Linked DNA regions of Ovis aries. The protein of the gene in region 4 interacts with the protein of the main gene of each other region in a pairwise test. Links are inferred from orthologs where the notes say so. Each region holds a gene or a part of one and is shown on either strand. Other genes may lie near its edges.

What was found.
Region 1: the proteins of CCDC136 (region 4) and NDN interact in a two-hybrid assay, tested with the Homo sapiens proteins (2 studies listed by BioGRID). The link is inferred for Ovis aries from reciprocal best matches to the Homo sapiens genes CCDC136 and NDN.
Region 2: the proteins of CCDC136 (region 4) and ASB7 interact in binary tests that used the Homo sapiens proteins (3 or more experiments, as listed by UniProt). The two-hybrid records come from large-scale screens. The link is inferred for Ovis aries from reciprocal best matches to the Homo sapiens genes CCDC136 and ASB7.
Region 3: the proteins of CCDC136 (region 4) and HDAC4 interact in binary tests that used the Homo sapiens proteins (3 or more experiments, as listed by UniProt). The two-hybrid records come from large-scale screens. The link is inferred for Ovis aries from reciprocal best matches to the Homo sapiens genes CCDC136 and HDAC4.
Region 5: the proteins of CCDC136 (region 4) and JMY interact in binary tests that used the Homo sapiens proteins (3 or more experiments, as listed by UniProt). The two-hybrid records come from large-scale screens. The link is inferred for Ovis aries from reciprocal best matches to the Homo sapiens genes CCDC136 and JMY.
Region 6: the proteins of CCDC136 (region 4) and NEBL interact in a two-hybrid assay, tested with the Homo sapiens proteins (2 studies listed by BioGRID and IntAct). The two-hybrid records come from large-scale screens. The link is inferred for Ovis aries from reciprocal best matches to the Homo sapiens genes CCDC136 and NEBL.
Region 7: the proteins of CCDC136 (region 4) and CDK2AP1 interact in binary tests that used the Homo sapiens proteins (3 or more experiments, as listed by UniProt). The two-hybrid records come from large-scale screens. The link is inferred for Ovis aries from reciprocal best matches to the Homo sapiens genes CCDC136 and CDK2AP1.

The regions. Positions count from the first base shown.
Region 1 is NC_056071.1:620,230-623,647, forward strand, and holds NDN (necdin), read right to left. Parts: upstream 2,131-3,418; 5' UTR 2,043-2,130; coding exon 1,065-2,042; 3' UTR 501-1,064; downstream 1-500. UniProt on the Homo sapiens protein: Growth suppressor that facilitates the entry of the cell into cell cycle arrest.
Region 2 is NC_056071.1:5,418,636-5,422,135, reverse strand, and holds part of ASB7 (ankyrin repeat and SOCS box protein 7), read left to right. Parts: intron 1-17; 5' UTR 18-71; coding exon 72-282; intron 283-3,500. UniProt on the Homo sapiens protein: Probable substrate-recognition component of a SCF-like ECS (Elongin-Cullin-SOCS-box protein) E3 ubiquitin-protein ligase complex which mediates the ubiquitination and subsequent proteasomal degradation of target proteins.
Region 3 is NC_056054.1:2,403,851-2,407,350, reverse strand, and holds part of HDAC4 (histone deacetylase 4), read right to left. Parts: intron 2,696-3,500; coding exon 2,611-2,695; intron 1,682-2,610; coding exon 1,540-1,681; intron 1,118-1,539; coding exon 1,075-1,117; 3' UTR 1-1,074. UniProt on the Homo sapiens protein: Responsible for the deacetylation of lysine residues on the N-terminal part of the core histones (H2A, H2B, H3 and H4).
Region 4 is NC_056057.1:94,459,344-94,463,557, reverse strand, and holds the start of CCDC136 (coiled-coil domain-containing protein 136), read right to left. Parts: upstream 2,801-4,214; 5' UTR 2,712-2,800; coding exon 2,654-2,711; intron 1,863-2,653; coding exon 1,755-1,862; intron 193-1,754; coding exon 1-192. UniProt on the Homo sapiens protein: May play a role in acrosome formation in spermatogenesis and in fertilization.
Region 5 is NC_056060.1:10,270,318-10,274,500, reverse strand, and holds the start of JMY (junction-mediating and -regulatory protein), read right to left. Parts: upstream 2,801-4,183; 5' UTR 2,272-2,800; coding exon 1,234-2,271; intron 1-1,233. UniProt on the Homo sapiens protein: Acts both as a nuclear p53/TP53-cofactor and a cytoplasmic regulator of actin dynamics depending on conditions. In nucleus, acts as a cofactor that increases p53/TP53 response via its interaction with p300/EP300.
Region 6 is NC_056066.1:21,528,872-21,532,371, forward strand, and holds part of NEBL (nebulette), read right to left. Parts: intron 1,680-3,500; coding exon 1,575-1,679; intron 1-1,574. UniProt on the Homo sapiens protein: Binds to actin and plays an important role in the assembly of the Z-disk. May functionally link sarcomeric actin to the desmin intermediate filaments in the heart muscle sarcomeres.
Region 7 is NC_056070.1:52,346,569-52,350,785, reverse strand, and holds the start of CDK2AP1 (cyclin-dependent kinase 2-associated protein 1), read right to left. Parts: upstream 2,801-4,217; 5' UTR 2,543-2,800; coding exon 2,488-2,542; intron 1-2,487. UniProt on the Homo sapiens protein: Inhibitor of cyclin-dependent kinase CDK2. Also acts as a component of the histone deacetylase NuRD complex which participates in the remodeling of chromatin.

The DNA.
Region 1 (3,418 bases), on a different chromosome or scaffold from region 4:
AGTCTGGGTCCAAACCCTAAAACTAAGCCTCTCCTCCCAGGAAGCCTTTATGATCCAGGGAAAGCTAATTATCTGCTTTATTTCTGTATTTCCTCCACGGTGCCTGCTTCACAAGGCTATTGTGAGGATTAAAGAGAGAAAATATATGTAAGGGTTTAGTACAAGGCCTCTCTTAGTGCCCACAAAAGACAGCTATTATTTTTTAGAAAATATGGAAAATGTAAGAGGGGCAATTACTCTAAATATCAGCATTTGTTATTTCTATATAATGTGATTATGACCCCTGTTTTGGTTTTTGCACTTCTACTTGTCAAAGCTTTGATATGAACTTGTGAATTCCTTCCTGAAAATAAAACTATGCCCTTTACATATTTATGAGTCATGATGAGTACTGACATCCCCGTCCTATTAGATGAAATAGTTATATCTGTATACTTTGTAATTCCCATTCCAAACCCATAATATTCTGTTAAGAAGATAAAGTACACTTTTTCCATGAATGACTGTATCACAAGAATCTTTAATGTTTAAAGTTTACTCATGGTGAGGTTGTATCTGTGTTTAGTAAAGTGTGCCCACATTGAGTCTGTTTCAGTTCACATCACCAAACTCCACAGGGATGTTTCCCGTGCCCAGGCAGAGCACAAAGACAGGGGTCAACTTTTCTCTTGGTTAGGCCAGCTTTTCTGGGGAGTTTTTCCAAACTCTGCAAGACCAATTTACCCCAATACACAGCCTCCGTCACACGTAAAAGAATATGGAAAATGCCTCAGTGTATTTCATAAGTTTAGCATGTCTCTGGTACAAAAAATTCAAGAAAGGTAGCACAAAAGCGAAAGCACCAACTGAGCTTAATTACAAACAACCATGCATGAATCCTATACACTAATATTACTGAAATGAACACAACATTGCATTAAGAGGTATAAAAGCACTGTATGGAAAACTTAAAAGTTACACGTGAAATACTGCACTGTAGATCCTGAATACTCTAACGTCCCACACTCCCACCCTTCCTCCACCCTGGTGAGGGGCAGAAAACTTCCATCTGCCTCCAGACCTTGCTAGTCCTCGGAGACACTGTTGCGGGGGCAGTGGGCAGTGGGGTGGGCCTCCCGCAGGGCTCTAGCCTCTTCCAGAGCCTCCCTGTAGCGGGAAGGCCAGGCCTGGGGGTTTTTCTTAAAGACCCTGGCCAGGAACTCCATGATCTGCATCTTGGTGATTTCGCGGCTGGCACGGGAGCCCCAGAAGAACTCGTACTCAGGGGGCTCGACATGGGGGACGCGCTGGTACTTCAGGTAGTTCTGCTGGACGAACTCCTCGGTGATAAGCTTTCTCACGTCTCCGAAGGTGGAGTGTTTCTTCCAAGGCCTCAGCCCCAAGATGCGCAGCACGTTCCAGACTGCACTCTCTCGAGCGCCGCGACCCTTCACGTAAATGAGGCTCAGGATCATCAGCAGGAGGCCCGTCATCGGCATGCGGTTGCTCAGAGCGACCCTGTCCAACTCCTCTGGCTCCAGAGCTTTGACCAGCGAAAACTCCATGGTGTGCAGGCTGGTCAGCCTCAGGTGCAGCCCGAACACGCGTGCGAGGATGAGGCTGGTGCGCCGAAGGATGCTTCTGCACCACTTCTTGTAACTGCCGATGACATCCTTCACCATGTCTGGGAACCAGATGATCATCCTCTTCTGGTCCTTGACCAGCACGTACCACATGAGCTCGTGTGCCTTCTGCACCAGCTGGGCCGGGGCCGGGGGCGCCGGGCTGAGCTGACTTGTGCTCGGGGCCTGGTGGGGACGGCCTTCGTCAGCGGCCTGCTGCAGGGCCTTCGGGTCTCCCTCTTCGCCTGGAGCCTGGGAAGGCAGCGAGACCAGAGGGGCATCAGGCGGGCTTAAGGGAGGGCGCTCTGGCTCAGTGAGTGTCGCGGCCTGAGACCCCGGAGGAGAGGGCCCCCCGGTAATGCCGGGGCTGCCGTGCACCTCGGAGTTGGAGGCCTCGGCCGCAAAGTTGGGGTCGCACACATCCTTACTTTGTTCGGACATATCTGTTCGGTCTCGCAAGAGCAGGGCCGCCGAGTCCGAGAGCTCTTCGAGTCTGCTTTCCCTCCGCGGACTCCTGGAGAGGAAGTGCGCATTGCTGCGCGCGGCGCCTTCCGCAGAGGCCAGGCAGGGCGGGGCGGCGGCGGGCCGGGCCAATGCGCCTGCGCGTCCGCGCGCCTGGGGCCCGGCAGTCGAGTTGGCGGGCGGGGCTCCTGGTGGGCTGCAGGAGGGGGCTAGGAGGCCCCCAGTAAGCATAGAGGGTCCGCTAGAATATGGGCCTCAGTGATCACACCCCCTCCCCAGGTATCCTGTTATGGCTAAGGAGGAGTTCTTGAGGAGGAGGGGAGGGAGATGGGTGAGCACTGGACAAGGAGTCAGTTTAAGGGACAGATGGCAATTTAAGCTTCTGAAATGCTGAAACTGAACTTTCTTAGGAAGCATTTGATTAGGTATATCCAAAATCAAGTTAGAGATCAATCCAAGAGTAAGAACTAGGCTGGTGTGTCAACTAGGTTTCAGATCAGTGTGAGAATTTAAACTGAGAGAACAGCCAGGATTGCCCAAGAAAATATGTCAACTCTGAAAAAGAGAAGTCGCTTAGTCATGTCCGACTCTTTGCGATCCCATGGGCGTAGCCTACCAGGCTCCTATGTCCATGGGCTTTTCCAGGCAAAAATATTGGAGTGAGTTGACATTTCCTTCTCCAGGGGATTGAACCCAGGTCTCCCGCGGTGCAGACAGACAGTTTACCCTCTGAGCCACCAGGAGAACTAATTGGACAAATTGGAATTCTGAAGAATAACAACAAAAATTCATTGATTTCCTACCGTATGGAAGAGTTTTGAACAAGAAATGCAGAATGTTGTCAATCCGAGTGTGATCGAAGTTCTCTTGAAGGCAATATAATAATGACTTTGTTAGTGTTTTAATGGTCATTGATTTTGGTTTTTCTATTCCATTGGATAATTTTGATGTAAATTTTGTTTCATTAGAATCCCCTCACACAAAGATTATATTAGCATAGACTCATAGGATGTCTTTCCGCCTGTTTTTCCAGGACCTTCCTTTTCTTTATGACTGTTTCAACCTCCGCTTTTCTTCCTGTGGAAACTTCACCTTCTTAGAGCACAACATCCCCATCTTCCACAGATACTGAATAGTATCACATGCAAATCCCTCCCAAGATACTTTTTTTTTCTTTTTTAAATTAACCTAGATCCCCAAAATTTTCCCAGATAACAATTGATTTGAGATGTAACAATTGGTGGTTGTATATCAGTTTTCAAATTTAGAAACCAAATCTGCAGTTTTGTTTGAGACTGTCAACAAAAACAAAGTTGACAGTCCCAGAGGTGCATCCTTTAAAAAAAAAAATTGGG
Region 2 (3,500 bases), on a different chromosome or scaffold from region 4:
TGTGCCTACCCTTCAAGGCTGATCCCTGTGACCTAATGAATCCTTTGTAAAAAAACGTGGACTCAGCTAGGATGTTACACCACCATTGTCGAAGGAACCCTGAACTCCAGGAAGAGTTGCAGATTCAAGCTGCAGTGGCTGCCGGGGATGTTCACACAGTGCGGAAGATGTTAGAGCAAGGCTACTCTCCAAATGGCCGAGATGCTAATGGCTGGACCCTGCTTCATTTCTCTGCAGCAAGAGGAAAGGAAAGATGTGTTCGAGTATTTCTAGAGCATGGAGGTGAGTTTACTGGGAGCAAACCTTTTTTCCCCAAGAAGAAACAAATGAAATTCTGTTTAGTTTAAAGTAATGTGTGCATGTGTATATGTTTTTTCTAATACTCGACTTCTTCTTCTCTCCTTTGTTATAATTATGCTGTTTTGTTTAAAACCAGGTTGTCTAAAAAATTGGTTTGATGAATGTGCTTTTTTTCCCCTTGTAACTCTAGTTTCTATATAGCCAGATTTCCCCAGATTATTTCAACTAAAAGCAACCCTTCTTTAGGTTGTCCACTTGCTTTGTTTCAGAAGCAGAAGTGGCTGTGGTCCCAACAACTAAGAATTGCTCAAGTTCCCCCTGTTGAGAATTGCTCAAGCAGACAGAGATACCATAGGCCCCTATAAATACCATGGCCTTCATGATACCCTATCTTTTGAATTTACCTCTTCTAAAAGCATTTTTAGATGCTTTTATTACTGTTTTAGCTCTTGCCTTTTCTAGAATTGTACATAGTTTCTAGATATCCTACAAGATTATCTGAGGTCTAATTTTATATGCAGTTGGAAGCTACATTTACCATTTTATGTTCTTGCTTTGAAAAACTGTCCATTCCCATAATTAATAGTAACTAATAATTGTCTTAAACTCACTTGTTTCCGTATTAGATTTCCACTTAATTTATTTTCCTAGATTTACACTTGTACAAGTGTACAAGATGAACAAACATATTTTTTTGTACTAATATTATTTTCATAAATTATGATGTAAAGCAGCTTAGTTGGAACTCAGGATTCATTATGTACTACTCTAGGGCCTGGATTGCTTATTAACAATCATTTAGTTCCATTTCTGTGCTGTACTTTTGACTAGTCAAACTTGGAAACTATTTTGAAGTACAGAAAATGTTAGAAGTCGCACAGCTGTCATTAGGGTCTTGTGAATTATGTGAAGATAGGAATATGAAGGCTGTGAGCGTGGACTAACTGCTGGGCACTGCTAAACTGAGACTAGGAATCATCACATGTCTTAGTGGCCCTGAAATAAGAATTATGTCCCCAAAATAGTTGGCCATTGACAGGACCCCACCATTCGCTGGCCTGGGCCTCTTTTGTGGCTGTCCTATGCCCCTCCCTGTGGCCCTTGCTCATGCCTCAATTCGCCTTCAAACTTGAAAACGTCAGTGCGGAAGGCCGTGAAGGAGTACTGTATGAGGAATGCCAGAAGAAAGATCTGGAAAAACTAAGAAGTGGGTGTAGAGTCAGAATAGTTAAAATTCTGACACTGCTTCAGCAAAATAAGGAACAGACTCAGATTTTCAAATTCTGCCTAGTTGTGTTACTTTCTGCATCTGTCAGCCTTGCTTTTAACAAACTAATTAAAAAGGAAAGGTCAGTTACTCAGGTAATGTATGAACTTGTCTCCTTAAAACAAATAAAACACAATTTCAAATAAATTATAAATAAAGCCAAAGTCCCCTTTGGTCAGCTCCCAACCCGTGTCTGCCCACCCCTGCCTGGAAGTAACTCATGGCTCTAAGTTTGGTTTGGTCCTATTTTTCTAGATCATTTCCTAACATACTTCTAGAAAATACATCTTATTGTGTTGTCTGTGGTTTTAGAATATAAATTATATACTGACTGTGTTAAAATTCTGCAACTGTTATTTTTTGCTCAGCTATATGTAACTTAAGAATTTTTTAAATGTTAGGTTGGCAGACTTTTTCTGTAAAAGGCCAGATAGTAAATATTTGGGGCTTTGCAAGCCCTTCTTTTTCTGTTGTTAGCTGCTCAGCTCTGCCTTTGTGGCATGAAAGCTGTCATATACAGTGTGAAGGAATGAATGTAGCTGTGTGCTGGTTAAACTTTATCTATAAACACCAGTGGTGTTCTAGATTTGGCCTCTGGGTCCAGTTTGCTGAGCTCTATTTCTCCCCCCAAACCCTACTCTCTGTTTCTGTATATATGTGTATATAGATATTTTTTTAACAGCTTTTATTGAGAAATAATTCACAAACCTTACAATTTGCCCTTTTCAAGTATACAATTTAGTAGATTTTGATGTATTCATAGAGTTGCGCATCTTTCACCACAACCAACTTTGAAACATTTCCATTACCCCGAAAAGAAGTCTTGTCCCACGAAGAAGTCTTGCACCTATCCCATAGTTATGCATGCCAGTTTGTGTGTGTGTGTTTAGTCACTCAGTTACATCCAACTCGCTGTGACACCATGGACTGTAGCCTGCCAGGCTCCTCTGTCCATGGAATTCTTCAGGCAAGAATCCTGGAATGGGTTGCCATTTCCTCCTCCAGGAGTCTTCCTGGCCAGGGATCAAACCCACATCTCTTGATTCTCCTGCATTGGCGACAGATTCTTTACCACTGTGCCACCTGGGAAGCATATATAGGTTTTCTCTGTTCTTTTCAACTGCTCAGTTCACTTCAATTCAGTTCAGTTCAGCAGTCGTGTCCGACTCTTTGCGACCCCATGAATCACAGCACACCAGACCTCCCTGTCCATCACCATCTCCCGGAGTTCACTCAGACTCATGTGCGTCGAGTCAGTGATGCCATCCAGCCATCTCATCCTCTGTCGTTCACTTCTCCTCCTGCCCCCAATCCCTCCCAGCATCACAGTCTTTTCCAATGAGTCAACTCTTCGCATGAGGTGGCCAAAGTATTGGAGTTTCAGCTTCAGCATCAGTCCTTCCAATGGACACCCAGGACTGATCTCCTTTAGGATGGACTGGTTGGATCTCCTTGCAGTCCAAGGGACTCTCAAGAGTCTTCTCCAACACCACAGTTCAAAAGCATCAATTCTTTGGTGCTCAACTTTCTTCACTGTCCAACTCTTATATCCAAACATGACAACTGGAAAAAACATAGCCTAGACTAGACAGACCTTTGTTGGCAAAGTAATATCTCTGCTTTTGAATATGCTATCTAGGTTGGTCATAACTTTCCTTCCAAGGAGTAAGGGTCTTTTAATTTCATGGCTGCAGTCACCATCTGCAGTGGTTTTGGAGCCCAGAAAAATAAAGTCTGACACTGTTTCCCCATCTGTTTCCCATGAAGTGATGGGACCAGATGCCATGATCTTCGTTTTCTGAATGCTGAGCTTTAAGCCAACTTTTTCACTTTCCTCTTTCATTTTCATCGAGAGGCTCTTTAGTTCTTCTTCACTTTCTGCCATAAGAATGGTGTCATCTGCATATCTGAGGTTATTGATATTTCTCCCAGC
Region 3 (3,500 bases), on a different chromosome or scaffold from region 4:
ATATATTATACATATATATATTTATTTATACCTAAAATTTTAAGCAATACTTCATGCTACTTGCTTTTAATAAAAAGCATTCCGATCGTAACACTGAAAGTGTGCCTAGGACATGCTTCACAACCAAATGGAGATGCTCAATTGTTATATGATGTACGAGAAAAAGAACACTTTGGATTCATTTAAAATTTGTTGGACTTCGAAACCCCCAACAGTATTTGCCACTATTTTGGAACTACCTCCATTTTTCTTCAACAGCAATAAAGCGAAACAGGGTGGCAGGACCTCAGCCCTCCAGAGCTGCTGGCCGAGGCGGGGACCACTTGTGAAGCGCCAGGCCAGTGCGAGCCGGCCTCCGGCCCCACCGGCCACAGGGAGCGGTCCCACCGACTCCTGCTGTTTATTTTTCTTAAGGCATTGTTCCTCGGACTTCGGAAAACCCAGCCACAAAAATCCATCAGAGCAATAAAAAAAAAAGGCACAAACGCGCATCTTCCGTCGGCTTTGAGAAACCAAAGCCGCACGGGCTCACATTTCTGCTTTTGTCCAGTTTTTTTTTTTTCCTTAAACGCTCGCCCGCTCCGTGTCCCAGCCCCACCGCGCACCCGCGGTGCGCAGGGGCAGGCCAGCGCCGGAGCGGCTGACTCTTCTCTGAAAAGAAATAAGCTACAGAATGAGTTGAGTGGTTTACACGGAGACTGTGGGATTGTGGGGAATCACCAAACCGTAAGCACCAGTTTTAATCAAGTTTGTTTTGTGTCGTGAGATCTTTGATTTTCATTTTCTTTTCCTCGGGTCGGCTCGCTCGGCAGGCGGCTCTGCCCCGAGCCCCCGCGGGCTCCCTCCCTCCGCGGCTGCCCTGCGGGGCCCGGAGCGCCCGCTCCCGCACGTCCGTGTGTCGGCGCGTCCCGACGTCTGCCCGGGTCCGGCAGGCAGAGGGCCGCCGGCTGCGGCTCGCCCCGCCGCGCCCGCGGGCTCGGAGGAGGCCGGCAGGACGCAGGGCGGCAGCAACTTTTCTCGGCGGAGCTTCAAGACGGAGACAGACAAACAAGAGACCCGCAGCTGCGGGAGCGGCTACAGAGGCGGCTCCTCTTCCATGGGCTCCTCGTCGGGTCTGCTGGGGCGGGCGGGCGGGCGGGGTGGCAACAGAGGAGAGGGTGGATGTGCAAGGTTCCTAGCTATCTCTGCCCCCCAACTCCGAGGCATCCCCGCCCCCAACCCCGAGCCACCTCCACCCCCATCTCCTAGCTACCCCGCCCCGACTCCTAGCCACCCCCGCCCCCTCAACTCTCAGCGACCCCCACTCTTCCCCTAGGGAAGTGTTCCTTCTGGCCCAGACGCCCTTCAAGTCTTTCTCAGGCTCTTGCTTCTGGGAAGAGGTGTGGTGCAGTCTGCCCTGGGGCGAGGGTGAGGCCCTGCTGAGCTCACCCACTCCCCGCCCTGCTGAGCTAGCACGTGCCCCCAATACACCCGGGAGCAAAGACCCGGGTCACCCGCAGATGGCGGCAGCACCCACCGCCGGCCAGTGTCCGTGCTCACCTCTTCTCAGGGGCCTTCACGGCCACAGACAGCGAGGCCATGGCAGTGACAGTCTCGGCTTCCTCGTTCTCACACTTCTGGGCCTCGACCAGGGAGTAGCCAGCGGTGGAGGCGAGCCTCTGCAGGGAGCGCCAGTACTGGCCTGCGGAAGGGGCGGGTGACTGCTCAGATACGGGACCCCATCCCTGTGCTTGGGCCCACGGGGCTCCAGCAGCACCCATCGCTGGTGACTCCAAAGCACCACGCTCTCCAGAGACAGAAGCCACGAGGTGGCCTGGTTAGAAACTCACAGAGGGTGGCAGTCTGGAAAAGCTTCCCCGTGACCAGGAGAACTGGGCCCTTCAGGGGCAGGACACCTGGGTGGGGGTGGGCTCCAGGGAGGGTCCCTCCCTCAGGGTGGGGCGGCTGGGACGAGCACTCCCTGACTCCCTGCTGGAGTCCCGAGATGATGGGGGTGGGAGCAGGCAGCCTCCCGGTGTCTCCTGGGCCTCAGGGCTCCTCATTCAGGAGGCCAGGAGCTCAGTGCACAGCAGGAGACCCTGGGTCCCGCCCATGGACACGGACACTGGCGACTGGGCCACCCCGCAGACCCAGGATAAAGGCGGGGCAGAAGTCCGTGTGCAGCCCCTGGGCTCCTGGGCCCCATCGCTCGAGGGGCAGGGCTGGTCTTTGGGCCAAGGGTACCCTGAACTGATGGAGTGGGGTTTGCTGGTCCAAGGGCAGAGGCCAGACCCGAGGACACAGGCTTCCATGCGGGTCCCAGCCTGTCAGTGGGGAGCCTGGAGAAGGGACCTCACACACCCCCTGAACCACAGCGCTTCTGCCCCACAAAGCAGAGCTGGTGACTTGGCTGTGGCAGGTTGTTGGGACGTCAAGCGGGGTGAGAGGAGAGTCACCAGCTCATCACATTCGCCCTGAAAGCCAGGTCTCAACAGGCGGGCCTGGGGACGCTGCTGGCAGTGAGAGAGAAGCAGGGGGTGGGGGCGGTATGGGGGGTGGGAGAAGGGCTGTGGAGTCGGGCCCCTCCCTTGGGGGGGGTCTCCTTGCTGAGCCCTGGGCCAGGCAACTTACTGTGGATTTCAATGACCTTCTCCATCGACCGCACGGCGTTGGCGTTGGGTCTCTGCTGTAAGACCTTTTCTGGGAGAGGATCGAGCTGGGGATGAAAGAAGAATACACGGTGAGTTCGAGGCCATCAGTAGAGTCCCTGTGCATGTTTGGATGGGACGTCTGGATCATAGAATCCCCGTGCGTGTTCAGATGGGACGTCCGGATCATAGAATCCCCGTGCGTGTTCAGATGGGACGTCCAGATCAGTGTCTTCCTCACGTGCACGTGCTAACAGAGAAGACAGCTTGAAAAAGCCAGAGGTGGTTGTGGCATTACATAAATGTTTTCACAGAAGTAAACTTATTTTCCTTAAGGTGTTTCCCCTAGGAGGCTCTCGGGTACGTTCGTGGGTGCCCGTGTGGGCAGGACACTAGCTGGTGTCCAGAGGCAGCTGGCGCAGAGGGGTGGCAGCATGGGCTCCACCGCTGGATGCACGGCACAGCGTCAGGGGAAGGGATGATGACTTTTCGGAAACATCAGTTTCATCACACTTGTCAACAAGGGTTTTATAGACAGGGCTTGAATATCCCCACTTTGGGCCTCCCTGGTGGCTCAGCGGTAAAGAATCCGCCTGCCAAGCAGCAGATGTGGGTTTGATCCCTGGGTCAGGAAGATCCCTTGAAGGAGGAAATGGCAACCCAGTCCAGTATTCTTGCCTGGGAAATCCCATGGACAGAGAGGCCTGGCGGGTTATGGTCCAGGGCGTCACAAAGAGTCAGACACAACTGAGCGACAAGCACATCTGCCCTTCAGGGTTTTCTTCCAATGATCAGAGAAAAGGTAGACAGAGGGTGTGAGCATCTCTGCTCCGAGCTCTCCCTGAAGTCCCTGCCGCAGGTGGAGTGGGGAGG
Region 4 (4,214 bases):
CTGCCACCAGCCGCAGCACCTGAGCCCTCAGCTCCTCCAGCTCCGTCTCCGTGAGGCTCAGGCCTCGGTGCTTGCTAACCGACAGGGAGCCTGCGTTGCCGCCTTTCTGCCCTGGATCATCCTCTTCTTCCATCTCTTCTTCCTCCTCCTCCTCCTCTTCCTCCTCGTAGAGAGCTGGGAGTAACACTTCCCCTAGGAGAGACCCCCGCAACATCCCGCCAGCGAGTAAGAGCCAACTTTCTTACACAGTCCTTAGAGGGCCCTCCACCTCACTGTCCTTAGAGGACAGAGATGGTATAATAGTGCCACCTGGTGTCCCCCAAGGAGCCTCTGGGCAGCACCTGCATGCCTGAGGGGCCCTGAGGTGTGAGAGTCAAGTTTGGAGGTATCCATCCCCCTCCCAGGCACTTCCTGGACCAATATTGCCTCTGGGGCCTCCAAGGACTGCCTTCAGGTGGACTGAACAGCCAGGGACTGGCTTGCACAAGGATACCTTGCTTCTTCTATCCTTGTCTCTGGGCACAAGTAGTCAAGAAAGGATTCAGACACTGGGTGTGTCTTTAAGCCAAACAGGGCAAGAATTACAGTTTGGGGGTTTGTACAAAGTTTACAAACGATCCAGGTGGCTTGTGAGAAACTAGCCTTTCCATTATATGAAAGTGTTGCCTGTCAGTAGGCAGAGAAAGAGAACATCTGAATGAAATGATCTAAAGGATTTACTGGACAAACACTGGGGCCCTTCCAAACATATTCCATTGAATAGACTTTTTGAAATTTTCTACCAAGTCCACTTTTCTTTTCCCTGCTGAGTGTCTGGGGGTCTCACTTCCTCCCCTGCTGACCACAAGGCAGTTTTTAGGGGAAAGTCATAGGTTGTACTTGTGTGTAAAAGAAAGCCTGCCATTTTAATGAGTTAAGAAACTGGGGTGTGTTGGTCCCCAGTCTCTGGCTGGCAAGCACCCCCTCCTTTACTGCAATGCAGTTTCTCTAAATAGCAAAACCTTATCTGGATGGCAATTGTTTTAAAATTCTGAGTCTCTGGCCTGGTTTTGTCCAGTAACCACAGCCTAAGATTCATCTGGGACCCCTGGCATCATCTGTCTCCCCGGGGTCAGTGGAGGTGGGGGGGGAAGGGGCAAGATTGACCACACTAGATGTGCACAGGGACCTGGGGACCCTTCACGGGAAGTCCTGGCAACAGGACTGGCACCCTTCTAGCATCCTCCTGGTGTTGGCAACAACTGCCAAGTCGCATGGGTGTTGTGGGAATACACATGTGTTGGGAGGTTGGCCTTTTCAGCAGCCCCCTTCCCAGGCTCCCTCTTTCAGGCAGTAAGATAGCCTAGAGAACCAAAGCCACCAGGCTTCCATTTGAAGTCAGTGGTGGCAGCACCAGAAAGACAGTTCACGTGCTCACTTCCCTGCTTTTCAAAATAAGAGACAGCTTGGGATCTGGGTCGGGAGGCAGAGAGAACAAACCCCCTGCTGAAAGGCTGCTTCAAAGCTCTGTCCAAAGAGGCCTCTTTCTCTGTCTGGCAGCTCCCTCGGGACACACAACCTGGTTAGCTGGTGATTAGAACCCCAAAAGGATGTACCTTGAACTTCCCTCAAAACCTGAGCCCTGAGGAGGGCTAGCGGGTGCTGAGCTGAACTAGGGGGAAGGTGTGTGTCCTGGCTCAGAGTTCTGGAGGGTCAGAGGGAGGAAGGAAAATTGGGTGAGGGAGAAGGAAAGAAAGCTTTACAGGAAAACTCACCCTCCATAGCTTGCATCCCCCGCCGTTCCAAAGACCCCCAGCGTTGGCCCTTCTTCCTCTCACAACCCTCCGACACCTCATAGGAGCCTAAAGTGGTCACTGTGGGTCCTGTGAGCAAGGAGAGAGAGGGATTGTGGGGTGCCAGGGTGGCTGGGGTGAGGCAGGGAGGGGAAGGGACACACCTTCTAGCCCTTCGGAGCCCTGGGGGTTTTTATCCCGGTGGAAGTACTTGGCTCACTCTGCCAGGCACTGCGACTCCTCTCCCCAAGCTGCCCCTTAGGCTGGGCCTCTGGGGACCCCGCCCTGCCCTGCCCATCCTCCTCTGCAACCTCTGTTCCAGGCTCCTCTCCCTCGCACAGGTAGAAAGGGTGTGTGTCTCTTTAGCCCAGAGGGGACAGAGGGGGAAGATGGACAAGGATGGCAGAGGGTGGGAGCAAGTAAAGAGGCTGAAAGGGTGAGGTAGTGCGCCTAAGGGGAAGGTGGGGAGGGGGCCGGCGATGGCTGGCGGGGGTCGTGTGGACCGGACCCCCTCCCCTCCCCTCCATCTCTCCCTAGACTTCGTCCACCCCACCCGCGCCCCGCGCTCAGAAGCTTTAGGGGTGCGAGCGGGTGCAGGATCTATAGAGCCCCTAGGGCTGGAAGCAGTATGAGGCTGGAGAGTCGAGATTGAGAAGGCTCAGGGCAGGGAATGCCAAGGAGGATGCGGCCGGTGTGGGGAAGACCCAGCCGGGAAAGATGGAGACCGGGCCCGGGTGGGGGGCGGGAGGGAGGGAGGAGGAAGACTTCGGCCGTCAAGGTGGGGAGTAGCGGAGGGGGGAGAGGCCGTGGGGGTCTGGGGGGAGGAGAGATGGAGAAGAGGAAGGAGAGGCAGTGGAGAGGTGAAGGAGGGGCGCTCTGACCTGGGCCCGGGCAGCTCCAGCCCGAGGCGCCCGCGCCGGCCCCGGCGCCCGCCTCCATGGCCGCTCTCGCCACCGCCGCTGCCGCTGCCGCCGCCGCCGCCGCCGCCGCCGCCGCCGCCGCCGCGAGGCCGGGTACCGGAGCCGGGTGCGCAGGGGAGGGAGGGCGGGCCGGCCGAGGGGGCGGGGCCTGGCCGGGCCACCTGACACCGCCCCCGCCGCCGCCCGCCCGGAAGCCGGTCGGCCGCCGCAGCTCCCGAGTTCCCCGAGGCCGAGCGAGCGGGAGATGGGAGGAGACCCGCGCGGAGAGTGCGAGCAGCCAGGAGTCGGCTGCGCGAGGAGACCCCCTCTGCTCCGTGTGCCAGGATCCCGTCTAGCTCGGTGATGAGGCAGGAAAACCAAAAGGATGGACGGATCCTCCCGGCTTGTTTCCTGCAAACACGCGGATGCTTTTCCACTCCCCTGGCTCCCTATGGCGCAGGGCGCGCCCCCCAGCTCTGCAGTCGGCGCGGACCCCGGCCACCCGCCCCAGAACTGCGTGAGGGCAGGAGCGGGGAAACTGAGGCCAGGATACGTGAACTCGGGGCCCTGATCCCTCTGTTGTCCGTGCGTGCGCCCCTCACCAAGCCAGAAGCAGGGACCCTCTTAGGAGGGGCGGCTCCGTGGCCCTACACTGTCCTTAGTGTCCGAAGGCCGCCTTTCTCCACCGCTTGCCTTCCCACGAGCCCTACTCCCGGTGGGCTGCGAGAATGACCCCCACTCATCATGCACGCATAGCCTGTTCAGGGTGGGCACTGCTGATTTACAGTTAAAAATGGGAGATGTGAAACTTACGCGGGCTTATTTCACTTAACTTCATCATTCATTCAAGGAACGTCTACCAGGGGCCAGGTCTTGAAGAAACAATTGTTCTCACATCTCTGAAGGTCTTAGCTAGGAAAAATATGGGTACACTTGAGAACTGGGGCGTCCCAGGACATCCAGAAAAGCACTGGGAGATTCCTAAGCCAGGGACACACACCAATCCTTTCTCTCACCCATCCACTCACAAGGTCTTTGGCATATATTGTCTTTGTCACCGCCACAGGCTCCCAGGTTCACGAGCCCTCCATATTCTTCAGGGGAGAACCTTTCTTCACCTGGACATCCCCTACTTACCCTTCAACACTCAGCAGGGAGTCATCCCTAGGCAGCCCTTCCTGATGCCCCCTCCCACCCCATTATACACACCCTCTCCTCCTTTCTCTCTAGGGCATTGCCAGTCACTCAGGGTTGTCAAGGTCAGATTTTCAATTTTCTGTCTGCCCATTTTCTTGAAGACTGGGAGTTAACATGGTCTTCTGTATATCTCTGCTGTTGCTGCGGCTGCTAAGTCACTTCAGTCATGTCCGACTGTGCGACCCCATAGACAGCAGCCCACCAGGCTCCCCCGTCCCTGGGATTCTCAAGGCAAGAACACTGGAGTGGGTTGCCATTTCCTTCTCCAATGCATGAAAGTGAAGAGTGAAAGTGAAGTTGCTCAGTCGTGTCCGACTCTTAGCAACCCCATGGACTACAGCCCACC
Region 5 (4,183 bases), on a different chromosome or scaffold from region 4:
TCACTTCCTTCCAAAAATGATTGAAGGTATTAATAGAACAAAGACTCCAGAAGTGAGATGATAAAAAGGGAAATAAAAAGAGATCCCTAGAACTATGGGATCACATCATGATGGGTGATGTTTAGCATCAAGTTATCTAACAGGACGAAGTGAAAACCTGGAGTCACCAGGTTTTAAGAAAGCACTGTGGAGTAAGTGAGGAAGAATTACTTCCTAAATCCCAAATAGAGAATATTCTATGAAGAAATCAGGAGGTTCCTGCTTCCTGGCACATACTCCCAAGATTCCAGTAGTATGTAAACACAGGCAAAGAATATAAGCACGTCAAAAGGAGGCATTTCCCCAACCCAACTCCAACCTCAATTGGTACTAATACTAAAAATAATAATTTTGAGACCGAGAATACTTTTTTTAGTAGTTTTCCGGCAGAGGCTCTTAAGTACGCATGACCTCCAATTATACATCCTACACATCGTAGAGCTCTCTATGTATAACCATTCAGACCTTTTCCCATTATTTCCTGGAATTTTAAGGATTCGTTTGAAAATAAGCGCCTGGACTACTTTTAGTCAAGTGCAAAAGTATAATAAACATTTCTATCCAAGACCTTTTTCCTCCCTAAAACAAGGGAAACATCAGCCCTCCTTAAAAGGCTTGAGATATTCCTAAGGTATGTATCCAACTGTCAATAGGGGCTTTTTATTTGGACAGGCCTCTCATCCGAAGAAAAATTATTTAAAATTTGCCAAAGTTGCCAAATTACATTTGGAGACAAAAAAACGGACCAGTTTTACTTCACAAGACAAATCATTTTCAATAAACGAACATGACACCAGGAAAGTAAGTTTAATGATCCGGGCAATTATTGCTGGAAAGAACTTTAGGAACAAAGAGAATCACTCACTTAGCTTATATTTATGGGACATCTTTCTTCTGAGTGGCTTTAATCTTTCTACCATTACTTAGTAGTAAACAGAGCATTTTCTAGAACTTATATAAGTAGGAGGAGATATCTAAAGGTTTACCCAAGTTCCTTCAGAGGCCAAATTAAAGAAAGCCATGGTTTTTCCCACTTCTGAGAGGAATGAAGGGGGAGAAAGGTCAGGGCCCCCTCCTGTACCGTTGTTTGGCTAGGAAAACAAGAGTCCCAAATGCGCACAACCTAGACCGAGGCTCCAGTCTGCGGCAGCGTGGAGCCAAAAGCGATGCGTGGAGCCTAGACCGGGTCCTTACCTCCTGGATGCGCTTCCTGGCCCGCTGGAGCACTTCTTCGTAGCCCTTCTGCCGCAGCTCGCTCAGGCTTTCGTAATACTCCTCCGGGTCGTCGGTCTCGGTGAACAGCACCTGGGACAGGATCTTCCAGCCGCAGGTGTCCAGGCCGTGGCCCAGGTAAACCTGGAGCTGGTAACACAGCGTGTCGATCTCCTGCTCGGACATCTCCGGGGCGCCCCCGAACAGCACCGTCCACATGCCCGACGGCTCCTCCGGAAACACCGGCAGGCACGGCTCCAGCTGCGAGTTCACGGAGCACAGCTGCTGGTGCACGGCGCGCAGATCCTGGAAGGAGAAGAGCCCGGCCCAGCTGCACTCCTCGGCCGGAGACTCCAGTTCGGCGGCCGGCGGTGGCTGCTCCGCGGCCGAGAGCGCCGGCGCCGCCGGGTCCGCCTCATCTTCCCTCACCACTTCCAGCACCTCGATCTCCTCGGTGACCGTCCCGCAGGCGCTCACTACCCGCACCGACATCGGGGCCTCCTTGGCCGCCGGAGGGGCTGCCGCAGCGGCGGACCCCGCCACATCTCTGCCTCCGGAGGCCCTCCGGACCGGGCTGTGGTTGGCCCTCACCGGGCTCCGGAGAGGACTCTCCGCCCCTTTGCCGGCCGGACTCCGCAGCGACGGGTCCCCTCGAAGGCTGCATGCGCTCCGCGGAGAGCTGCCCTCTGGCCAGGCTGGGCGCCTCCGGGACCCGGGGCTCCTGCCCAGAGTCGCGGAGGCAGTGGCCTCGGACCGACCCTTGCCCGCCGGGCTGCCCGGCCCGCGAGTCCCGTCGGATGCGAGCGCGCCTGACTCGGCACCGCCTCGCGCCCCCGCCTGATCCCGGGTGCCGCTCCTCTGCCTCTGGGCCGTCCGGTTGTGGCAGGTTATGGCAAACTTGCCCTCAATCTCGTTCCAGGCTACGATGAAGACGAACTTGTGCTTCTCACGCTCGTCGAATACGTGGGGCCGCACGGCTACCCAGTCCGACTCGACCGTCTCCTCCAGCGCGAACGACATGGTGGCTCCGGCGCCAGGCCGCGGGGAAGGCGCCGCTGGCCCTGCCCGCGGGAGGACTCGCCGGCTGGCTGCGCCGCGCCCCCCACTCACCCTCGCCGGGCGCCTTCAGCCATCTTAGCGCGCCGGCCGGCTCTCCCCGCTCGCTCGCCTGTCTCTCCGTCCTCGGACTCGTCGCGCTCCTTTGTGGCACGGCTCGCGGGAAAGACAATGCGCGTCCCCGGAGCAGGTAGTTCACATGGTCACGTGCGGCTGGGTCTGTTTACAAGCCCCGCGCCCGCCCGGGCCGCCCCCCGAGCGAGGCCGCCGGGCTGAGTCTGCGGCGCCCCGGAGGTGAGGCGCGGGTGGCGCGGGGCCGGCCGGGCGGGTGGGTGGTCGGGGCCCTGAGCTTGCGAGCCTCCGCCGCTCGCCCTGGCGGATCTCCGTGCCCCTCCTCCTCTTCTTCCCGACAGCCTGGAGCTGGCCTGACGAAGGGACGCGTCTCCTGAGCGCGGAGCCTCAGTATCGCCACAATGTTGCCATTCGGCTGCTGACGTAGCGGCTCCACGAGGGACGTAAACACGGGCACGTGCCGCACGCTGGTGACGCGGCGGCGGCGGCGCGCACACCTCGCTCGCGCGCGTCGGCCCCGCCCCTCCGCGTCTCCCGCCCCCGCCCCCGCCCGCTCGCGGCCGCGCGCGCGAGTCTCCTCTTCCTCAGGCTCGGGTCCCGAGCCGGTGAGCCGCGCAGTGAGAACGGCAGGTATGACCTGCGGGACAGGTGGCCTCCAAACCCAGGGAGAGAAGGACAAAGGCGAAGGAACTGAGCATTTTTGAACTCCAGTCATTCAGAGGGACTCTCAAGTGTACATTTCCTTCCATTTCGGAGGGATAACTCCCGTATTCAGAAGGAAGTACGCCGTGACGTTACGTGAGCTGTGTGCTAAGCTTTGTCGGGATCCCCTAGACTGTTGGGTTCTCCCCTTAACACTCTTGGCGATACACTGTCAGATACAAAGGGAAGGTGTCTGAAGACAACCCAGGAAAACTCCAAAGCAAAATAAGTGAACATTCAGTCATGTCCTACCAGTATGCTTACGTCTCCGTTCTTCAGTGTTTTATTGCTTCTGGCTTCATCATTGTGTATTGTTCTGTGAACCTCGTTTTGAGGTCACCGACTTGAGCCCTTTTGAAATTGTATTCAATTATCAAAGTTCTCATAATCCACATACCAAAAAAAAAAAATCACGTAATTCTGAAGAATTATGCTATTTATACTGAACTATGATGAAACACATTCTTAAAATTGCCTCATTGGTCTTATAATCTATTCACATACTCTTTCCTGCTACTATCCAATCCATATTACAGGTATTCTGCATTGACAGTAAAGCACAATGGGAATTATTTGTTGCTTTTATCCGTATTTCTAAAATATATGCGAGACCATTTGGATTAACCTTACATTGTTAGCCATACAGTTTTGTCCCGACATCTGAATAAACAGCCGAGAGCTTTAGCCCTATCAGTCAATTGGACATTTTAGACCTATATTTCTGCTTTGACCATAGGAAAGGGGAAGGATGAGCTAAAAGGGAAAAGGGCTGGTTTTTGAACCTTTTTACAGTTCTATATATAAACCATATGTTTTCAAAGCTTGTAACAATTTATGGTAATTCTCAAATGCAAGTCAGAAATACACCTTTTGAAAGGCAGTAAGAAACAGAGAAAATCCATTTCAAATCTGCTCACCAGCTAAGCAAACAATAGCACATTATAGAAAAATTTCCTCTTTTCTGCAGAAAAGTTACTGCTAACAGTTTTTCTGATAAAAAATGATAGGTCATAGCTCTTCTTATAATACATTATAGATAAGTAAAAATACTAAGAATGAACCTCAAAAGTATGTTTATGAGAAGTATTTTTATTTACATGTA
Region 6 (3,500 bases), on a different chromosome or scaffold from region 4:
AAATTAAAGGACATATTACAAAAGCTCACTAAGCAGTTACCCTTTAATTCAAAAATAGCATGAAGTTTCAAGCAACTGCTCTTCTTCAAGTGAAAGCAAAGACAGTCTTGTTCACTTCAAAGAAAATATTAGTTTTACCATCAGCATCAACACTAAGTCAGCCTGTTTTCCTTATCTTCCACTTATTCCTTAAACCTTCCCACATCTCTCCATCCCTACCAACACCTACCCCTTTTGACCACAAAGCAAAAGAAAAAAACAAAGTGTCCTACAGAAAAACAGACTAATTATAAGGAAGTCATTCGAGGCCAGAACTACTCCCTCTCTTCTTTAATTATTTTTTAAATTGGAGGATAATTTCTTTACAGTATTGTGATGGTTTCTGCCACACATCAACATGAGCTGGCCATAGGCATACATGTGACCCCTCCTTCCTGAACCCCCCTCCTGCTTCCCTCCCTACACTATCCCTCTAGGTTGTCACAGACACCGCCTTTGGGTTCACTCTCCTGATATTTGTTAACCAGTAGATCCCAGCGGGGGTCAGGAGGGCAGGACATATGAGATGTTCTCCTGCAAAAGCTAGAAATCTGGAATCACAGGCGGTAAGGGCCACACAACTCTTCTCCCTCATCCTCTCTTCCAGCAAGATTTCTACATCTCTTGGCACAGCCTGCCTGTGAAGACCCTAGAGGTACCTGAACAGCATACCTGCAGAGTTAAGAGGTTTCCCACTTATTAGAAAGTAGAAAACATTACAGAAATTTTCAAAAATAATAGAATTTATATTTTTAATAACATTTGCTTAACCACTAAGTTAATTCTATGTTAAAATATTGGCTGTACCATCAATTTTTATTTTAGAATTCAAGTTCATATACCCATTATATATATGCCCACTATCTTAATCAATGATGCTAATAAAATTCCTATTCCTCAAAACAAAAATATGAACGTTTAGGAAGTAATTGTTGTTGTTTAGTCACTAAGTGGTTTCTAACTCTTTTGCGACCCCATAGACTGTAGCCTACCAGTTTCCTCTGTCCATGGGATTTCCTAGGCAAAAACACTGGAGTGGGCTGCCGTTTCCTTCATGGGGTTTTCCTGACCCATGGATTGAACTCACATCTCCTGAATCAGCAGGCTGGTTCTTTACCACTGAGCCACCAGGGAAGCCCTTAGGAATTGGTTACAAACTAGTAAATCCCTAGATATATTATCAATGCAATTAATCAATGACCAGGAAGGCAATCACTTCATATGACTATTTTTATCTTCAAAGTAAAATATGTGTGTAAAATTAAGATCTCTTTCCTGAGTGAAATTTTAAAATTCGGTTAAAAGGAGCTGTTGCTTGTACCTAAAAAGGAAATATGAATCTGTAATTCTAAAATAATCATGATAAATTATAAGTTGTAAGAACATTTGGTGTTCTAATGATTTTAAAGAAGGAAAGATATGCATTTGACAGAAAATTCGAGCAAGGCAGCAAAAAAAAGCAGACTGAGGAACAAAGGCCCCCTTTCAAAACATCATTTCAAGGTGACAACTGGAAAGAGACAATGGCTACTCACCGCACTAATGTTTTGTTGAGTTGTCTTAATTCTCTGAATTTCAGGAGTATCTGCCACAGCAGAATAGCTAGAAAGCATCTTCTCCGCCTCATCTTTATACTTTTTCTAAAAATATAAACTGAATGTGAATCTGAAACTCTGTGTGCCACATTCAAGAGAGACAGAGACAAAGAGAAAATGGTACTACTTTTTCCAACTCTGCCATATCTGAAAGTGAAAGTCCCTCAGTTGTGTCTGACTCTTTGCAACTATACAGTCCATAGAATTCTCCAGGCCAGAATACTGGAGTGGATTGCCTTTCCCTTCTCCGGGGCATCTTCCCAACCTGGGGATCGAACCCAGGTCTCCCGCATTGCAGGTGGATTCTTTACCAGTTGAGCCACCAGGGAAGCCCACATGTTCTAAATTATACCTTAGGATTCAAATCAGTTGTTGATGTGTTTGTGTGTGTGAGCTCAGTCGCTCAGTCTTATCCAACTCTATGATGTATTTATGCAACAGTAAAAATAAACAGCATACGCAAACAGAGTAAGCAAACAGTCTAGGAAAACACATTCACCTTCTCTCAGGCAATGGTTCCCACTCAAGACTATTCAAACACCCTGGGACAGCCTGACCTCTACGGAAGTCCTAAGCCTAGAACCTACTCTCTTATGAGCAGTTCCAGTTCCTGTTCAAAATAGCCCTTACAACTCCTACCAGTAACCTGACTCTCTTTGCTTACTTGTCTTCATGCTTCTAGATTTATACTTTGCTTCCTACTTCAGAAGAAGATACATTTGACTAAGGAAAAGATACTAGTATTTTGTACTAGAGATAAAAATCTCAATTTTCCTTTTGCTACTAAATGTACTATTATGAGCTCAGCTATATCCTAGGCAATGCCTTCTACGAGTGCCAGCATTTACACAGTAGTTCAGTTCAGTTCAGTCACTCAGTTGTGTCCGACTCTTTGCAACCCCATGGACTGTAGCACGCCAGGCCTCCCTGTCTATCACCAACTCCCAGAGTTTACTCAAACTCATGTCTATTGAGTTGGCGATGCCATCCAATCATCTCATTCTCTGTTGTCCCCTTCTCCTCCCACCTTCAATCTTTCCCAGCATTAGGGTGTTTTCAAATGAGTGAACTCTTCATATCAGGTGGCCAAAGCACTGGAGTTTCAGTTTCAGCATCAGTCCTTACAATGAATATTCAGGACTGATTTCCTTTAGGATGGACTGGTTTGATCTCCTTGCAGTCCAAGGGACTCTCAAGAGTCTTCTCCAACACCACAGTTCAAAAGCATCAATTCTTCAGTGCTCAGCTTTCTTCACAGTCCAACTCTCACATCCATACATGACCACTGGAAAAACCATAGCCTTGACTAGACGGACCTTTGTTGGCAAAGTAATGTCTCTGTTTTTCAATATGCTGTCTAGGTTGGTCATAACTTTCCTTCCAAGGAGGAAGCATCTTTTAATTTCGTGGCTGCAGTCACCATCTGCAGTGATTTTGGAGCCCCAAAATAAAGTATGTCACTGTTTCCACTGTTTCCCCATCTATTTGCCATGAAGTGATGGGACCAGATGCCATGATCTTAGTTTTCTGAATGTTGAGTTTTAAGGCAACTTTTTCACTCTCCTCTTTCATTTTCATCAAGAGGCTCTTTAGTTCTTCTTCACTTTCTGCCATAAGGGTTGTGTCATCTGCATATTTGAGGTTATTGATATTTCTCCCAGCAAACTTGATTCCAGCTTGTGCTTCATCCAGCCTGACGTTTCTCCTGATGTACTCTGCATAGAAGTTAAATAAGCAGGGTGACAATATACAGCTGTGACATACTCCTTTCCCAATTTGGAACCAGCCTGTTGTTCCACGTCCAGTTCTAACTGTTGCTTCCTGAACTTCATACAGATTTCTCCGGAGGCAGGTCAGATGGTCTGG
Region 7 (4,217 bases), on a different chromosome or scaffold from region 4:
GGGTTAGTTCCTGAGAGAGGGAGAAGGAATGGGTTGCAGGCGTGGAAGCAGTGTGGAGAAGTCAGGCAAGAGCCCAGAGCTTGATTTGCCTGTCACCTGGGTGATGTGGTAGTCGACCCGACTCTGAGCCAGTCCTTTGCTCAGTGTTCAGAGGGGGGTGCCTGTGGCCCTGGGAAGAGTTGGCGCAGGGACCCCAAGTTCCACTCATGCCCACAGCTTCCTGCAGACACAGGGAGGGCCGGCGGTCCAGCTGCCCAAGGCCAAGGAGAAAACCAGACAGGGCGTGAGCACGGTCGTCTCAGAGCATCGCAGACAATGCGCGCAGTGTGCGGGGACCAGGGAGGGCCCTGAGCCGAGGGAGGGATTGGCAAAGGCCAGCAGCTCCTGGGGCCAGGCGCGGCTCCCCGCCCCCACGCCAGACAAAGAGCGGCCCGGGCCTGGGGAGCTGGCGGCCTTCCCGCCACTTGGGGCGCCTGGGGGGGCTCTCTGGCGGGGAGGCGGGGGCTTTGTCTAACTCCGCCACTGCCACCGCCGGCCAGGCCGCGGCTTGGCAACTCGCGAGCAGGAGGCAGGGCTGGAGGGCGTGAGGGATGATGACAAGGAAGCCGGAGGAGCGGCAGTGGAGAGTCCATCTTGGATGCAAATGGCTCAGGGAGATGCGGGCTTTCTAAAGGGGTCCACGCTCAGGGCAGGGGGCAGGTGGCCCCTCACCCGAACACCAGAGATCTGGAGACCTCAGCGCTCCTCCTGGAGTTCACCACAGGAGAAGGAAGACAATCTGGGCACAGGTGCTAGCCAGCCCAGAGCAGGGCTTCAGGGTGCCTAAGCGGGTGGCTTGCTCCCTCTGGGACCCCAGTCCCCAAAGGGCCAGGTTCAGGGTCCCTGCCTCAACTGCACCAGGGGAACCTGAGACTTCCTGCCCACCTGGGCCGGCGGCAAGACCCTCCACCCATCCCACCCCAGAGTCAGATGAGGGAGGCAGTGAGAAACATTGGCCACAAAGCCTGCCTCTTAAGGTGTGCAGACCCGAGAGATGAGAACATTTCAGCTGAAAATAGGGGCCGTTTGCTCTTGGGGCTCAGACAGAGCCCACACTTGACCAACTAAACTATCTACCCCCACAGCCATCCACACCCTGAATCTTAACCCTTTCCAATCCCCAAATCTCTGTCCAAGAAGTTAAACACACACACACATATATACACCTACGTATAGGTATATACGTACATGGACATACACTTAGTGCTTTTCTGGGGCGCCCTTCAGATTTTGGAGTTATCGAGTTAACATTAGAAGACAAGGCCCAAAACTTTCGGCCAACTGCCAGCGTGGCACTTCTGACCAGGGAGGCCCATTTCCTTCCTGCCAAGCCCCTGCCTCCACCCCTACCCCCATGCACCTCGCTTTTTTGGAAGTTTCCCACCAAGAGTCTAAAGGAGAACCTCGGTGAGAGGGGGCAGTCAGTCACCTACGAACCCCACAAAATTTTACCACCAGCCACACACATCCCGCGTGCCCCCTTGCCACACACACACCCCGCCCCCGCCCCGGTCTCTGAGGCAAGACCCCCAGACTCAGCCTAAAGCTTCCGGACAACTTATGCAGGAGTTTTCTGGGACCGCCCAGCTTCAGCCCCAGCACACGGAGAGCACTGCTCCTGGAGGAGGCCCCTCTAAACCTAGACTTGGGGGCTCCAAGCCGGGACCCCGGCTCAATGCCTCCCCCGCCCTCCGCCTGCAGGCAACTCCGAAGCCCCCGGTCTTCTTCAACTTCTCTCACTTCGCGCACGCCTGAGGGGACCTCCCGTGCGCCCCGTTTTGGGCACCTGCTCCCCCACGCCAGGCCGGGCGGGCGTCCACAGACCACCTCCCCTGCACCGCCGGTGACCCCAGCGGCCCCGCGCCCTCGGGAGCGGCTGCAACCTGGCGCTCTCGCCGCCCCGCAGCGCCGCCTGCGCGTGGCCCGGCCTTGCTCACGTGCACCCCTGCCTCCCGGACCCCCCGCCCGGGCCTGCCCCTCAGGTCCCCAAGGGCGGACCCGCGCCCCGCTCCCGGCGCCCCGCTCCCGGCGCCCCGCTCCCGGCGCGACCGGGCCGCTCCCGATTCCCGCCGGCAGGGGCCCTCGCCGAGCCGCCCAAAAGCCGGAGGAAAAAGGAGCCGAGAAAGCCTCCCCCGCCCTCGCTCGCCGCGCTCCCCACAAGCCGGGGCCGCCGGCGTGGGGGGGACCGCGGCGGCCGCCCGCGACCCGGGCCCCAGCCCCGGCCCGACCCGAGGCCCGGCGCGGCGCGGGTCGCACCCGCGAACTTTGGCAGCGCGCGCGCCGGAATCATGGCGGCGGCGGCCGCGCTGCCCCGGGCCGGGACCCGGTGCCCGCCGACCCCGGCCGCCGCGGGCTCCCGGGAGCCGGGGCCGGGGCCGGGCGCGCGAGCCCCCAACTTGGCTGCACTTGGGGCGCGGCGCGCGCAGCCCGCGAGGCGCACTCACTCACCGGCGTTGAGGGAGGCGGCAGGCATGTGCGCGGTCAAGTTCGGTTTGTAAGACATCCCCCCGAGCGGCGGGGCGCGCCGGGGCGCAGCGGGGCCCGGCCCGCGAGGGCGGCGGCGGCGGCGAGACCCGGCGGCGGCGAGGCGGTCCTGGCGTCCGTGCGCCCGTCCGTGCGCCCGCCGAGCTCCCGCGCACTTTTTGTTGTTGACGGCTCGGGCCGCACCGGCAAATATGGCCGTCCCTCACCCTGACACCCGCTGCAGTATATCACCCATACATCGGGCGGGCGCGCGGGCGCAGGGGCGGCCGCAAACTTTGAGCGGAGCCAGCGGGGCCGGCCGGGGCCGGGAGGGGGCGGCCCGGCGCGCCGCGGCCGGGCGTCAGGGGGCGGTGCCGCCCGCGGCCGCGCCCCGCGCCTCCGGGCGCACTCGGCGCCCGCAACTTGGCAAAGTTTGGGGGGCTGGGGTCCCGGCAGTGCCCGAGGCCCACCTGGGTCCCCTTCTTCTGCTGCGCTGGCGATGCCTGGAGATTTGTTGCTGTACCGATTCATTTTTTCTTTTTTTTTTTTTTTCTCTAAAGCTAGGTAGGATTGCGGAATTACTTTTTCGCCCCCCCCCCTCCTTGACTGTGGGGGCAGGGATGGAAAATTACCTGGAGAAAATGGTGGCGAGTGGTATTTTTAAGCACGTAGATCATTCCAGACGCCGAGGTCTGCCTTCTCCCCAGAATAAGATCAACCAATTCTTGACATTGATTTCAAATAAATTTCACGTCCCTGTCGGTATTAAGTGGTTGTTAACCCCTTGGCGGCCTAGACTCCTTTGACACTGGACAAAAGCCAAAGGCCTCCTCCCGCGAAAAACACACCGTCTCATCCACCTAATTTTGCATCTTAACTCGTTCAAATATTTAAAAAGCGCCTGCTGTGTGGCGAGCACTGTTCTAGGCGCTAAGACAAGAATAAACTTGACCAAGTTTCTTCTCTCCTGGAGATTACATTGCAATTTTTGACCCTCTTCCTACCCCACCACAGCCCACTTCTCAAATCTGACTGAATTGCAATCATGAAATTTATTTTACATCAGATGATGAAGCTTTTGAAGGTATTATTTCTTGGAGTTCTCCTTAAATAGTAAATCTTCTCAAAAGACACAAGATGCCCGCCCTTTTCTGCCATTTTTAATCGCCCTGCTTTGCAAATATCTTTTATTAGCTACAGACTTTCAGATACATCTGGATCTAGTGAGAATTCTTATTGCCCCAGAGGTAAAGGATACACCCATTCCCTCCCTCCTTCCTTTAGAAGTGAAGGTACAAGCGACACCCCTCTTCCCAGGATCGCTTGTGATCAGCTTTAGGCTGGTTCCGTCAAGGATGTTCAGCGAAGTGTTAGTTCGGGGGTAAATTAATATCATCCTTTTCCTACCCTGCTCTCAGGGGACCAATACTCTAGAGTAGCACTGTCCAATAGAAAAGTATTGCAAGCCACATATATATTTTAACAATTTAAATAATCACATTTCAAAAAGTAAAAACTGATGAAATTAATCTTTTTTATTTAACATGATTTAAATATATAACGTATTAAGTCAATATATAATAAATATAAAGCAATTATTAAGATACTTTACATTCTTTTTCTGATACTATATTCAAAACCCACCGGGTATTTTACCCTTACAGCTCATCCTGATTGGGACTGGTCACATTTCAACAGTTTGGTAGCCACAATAG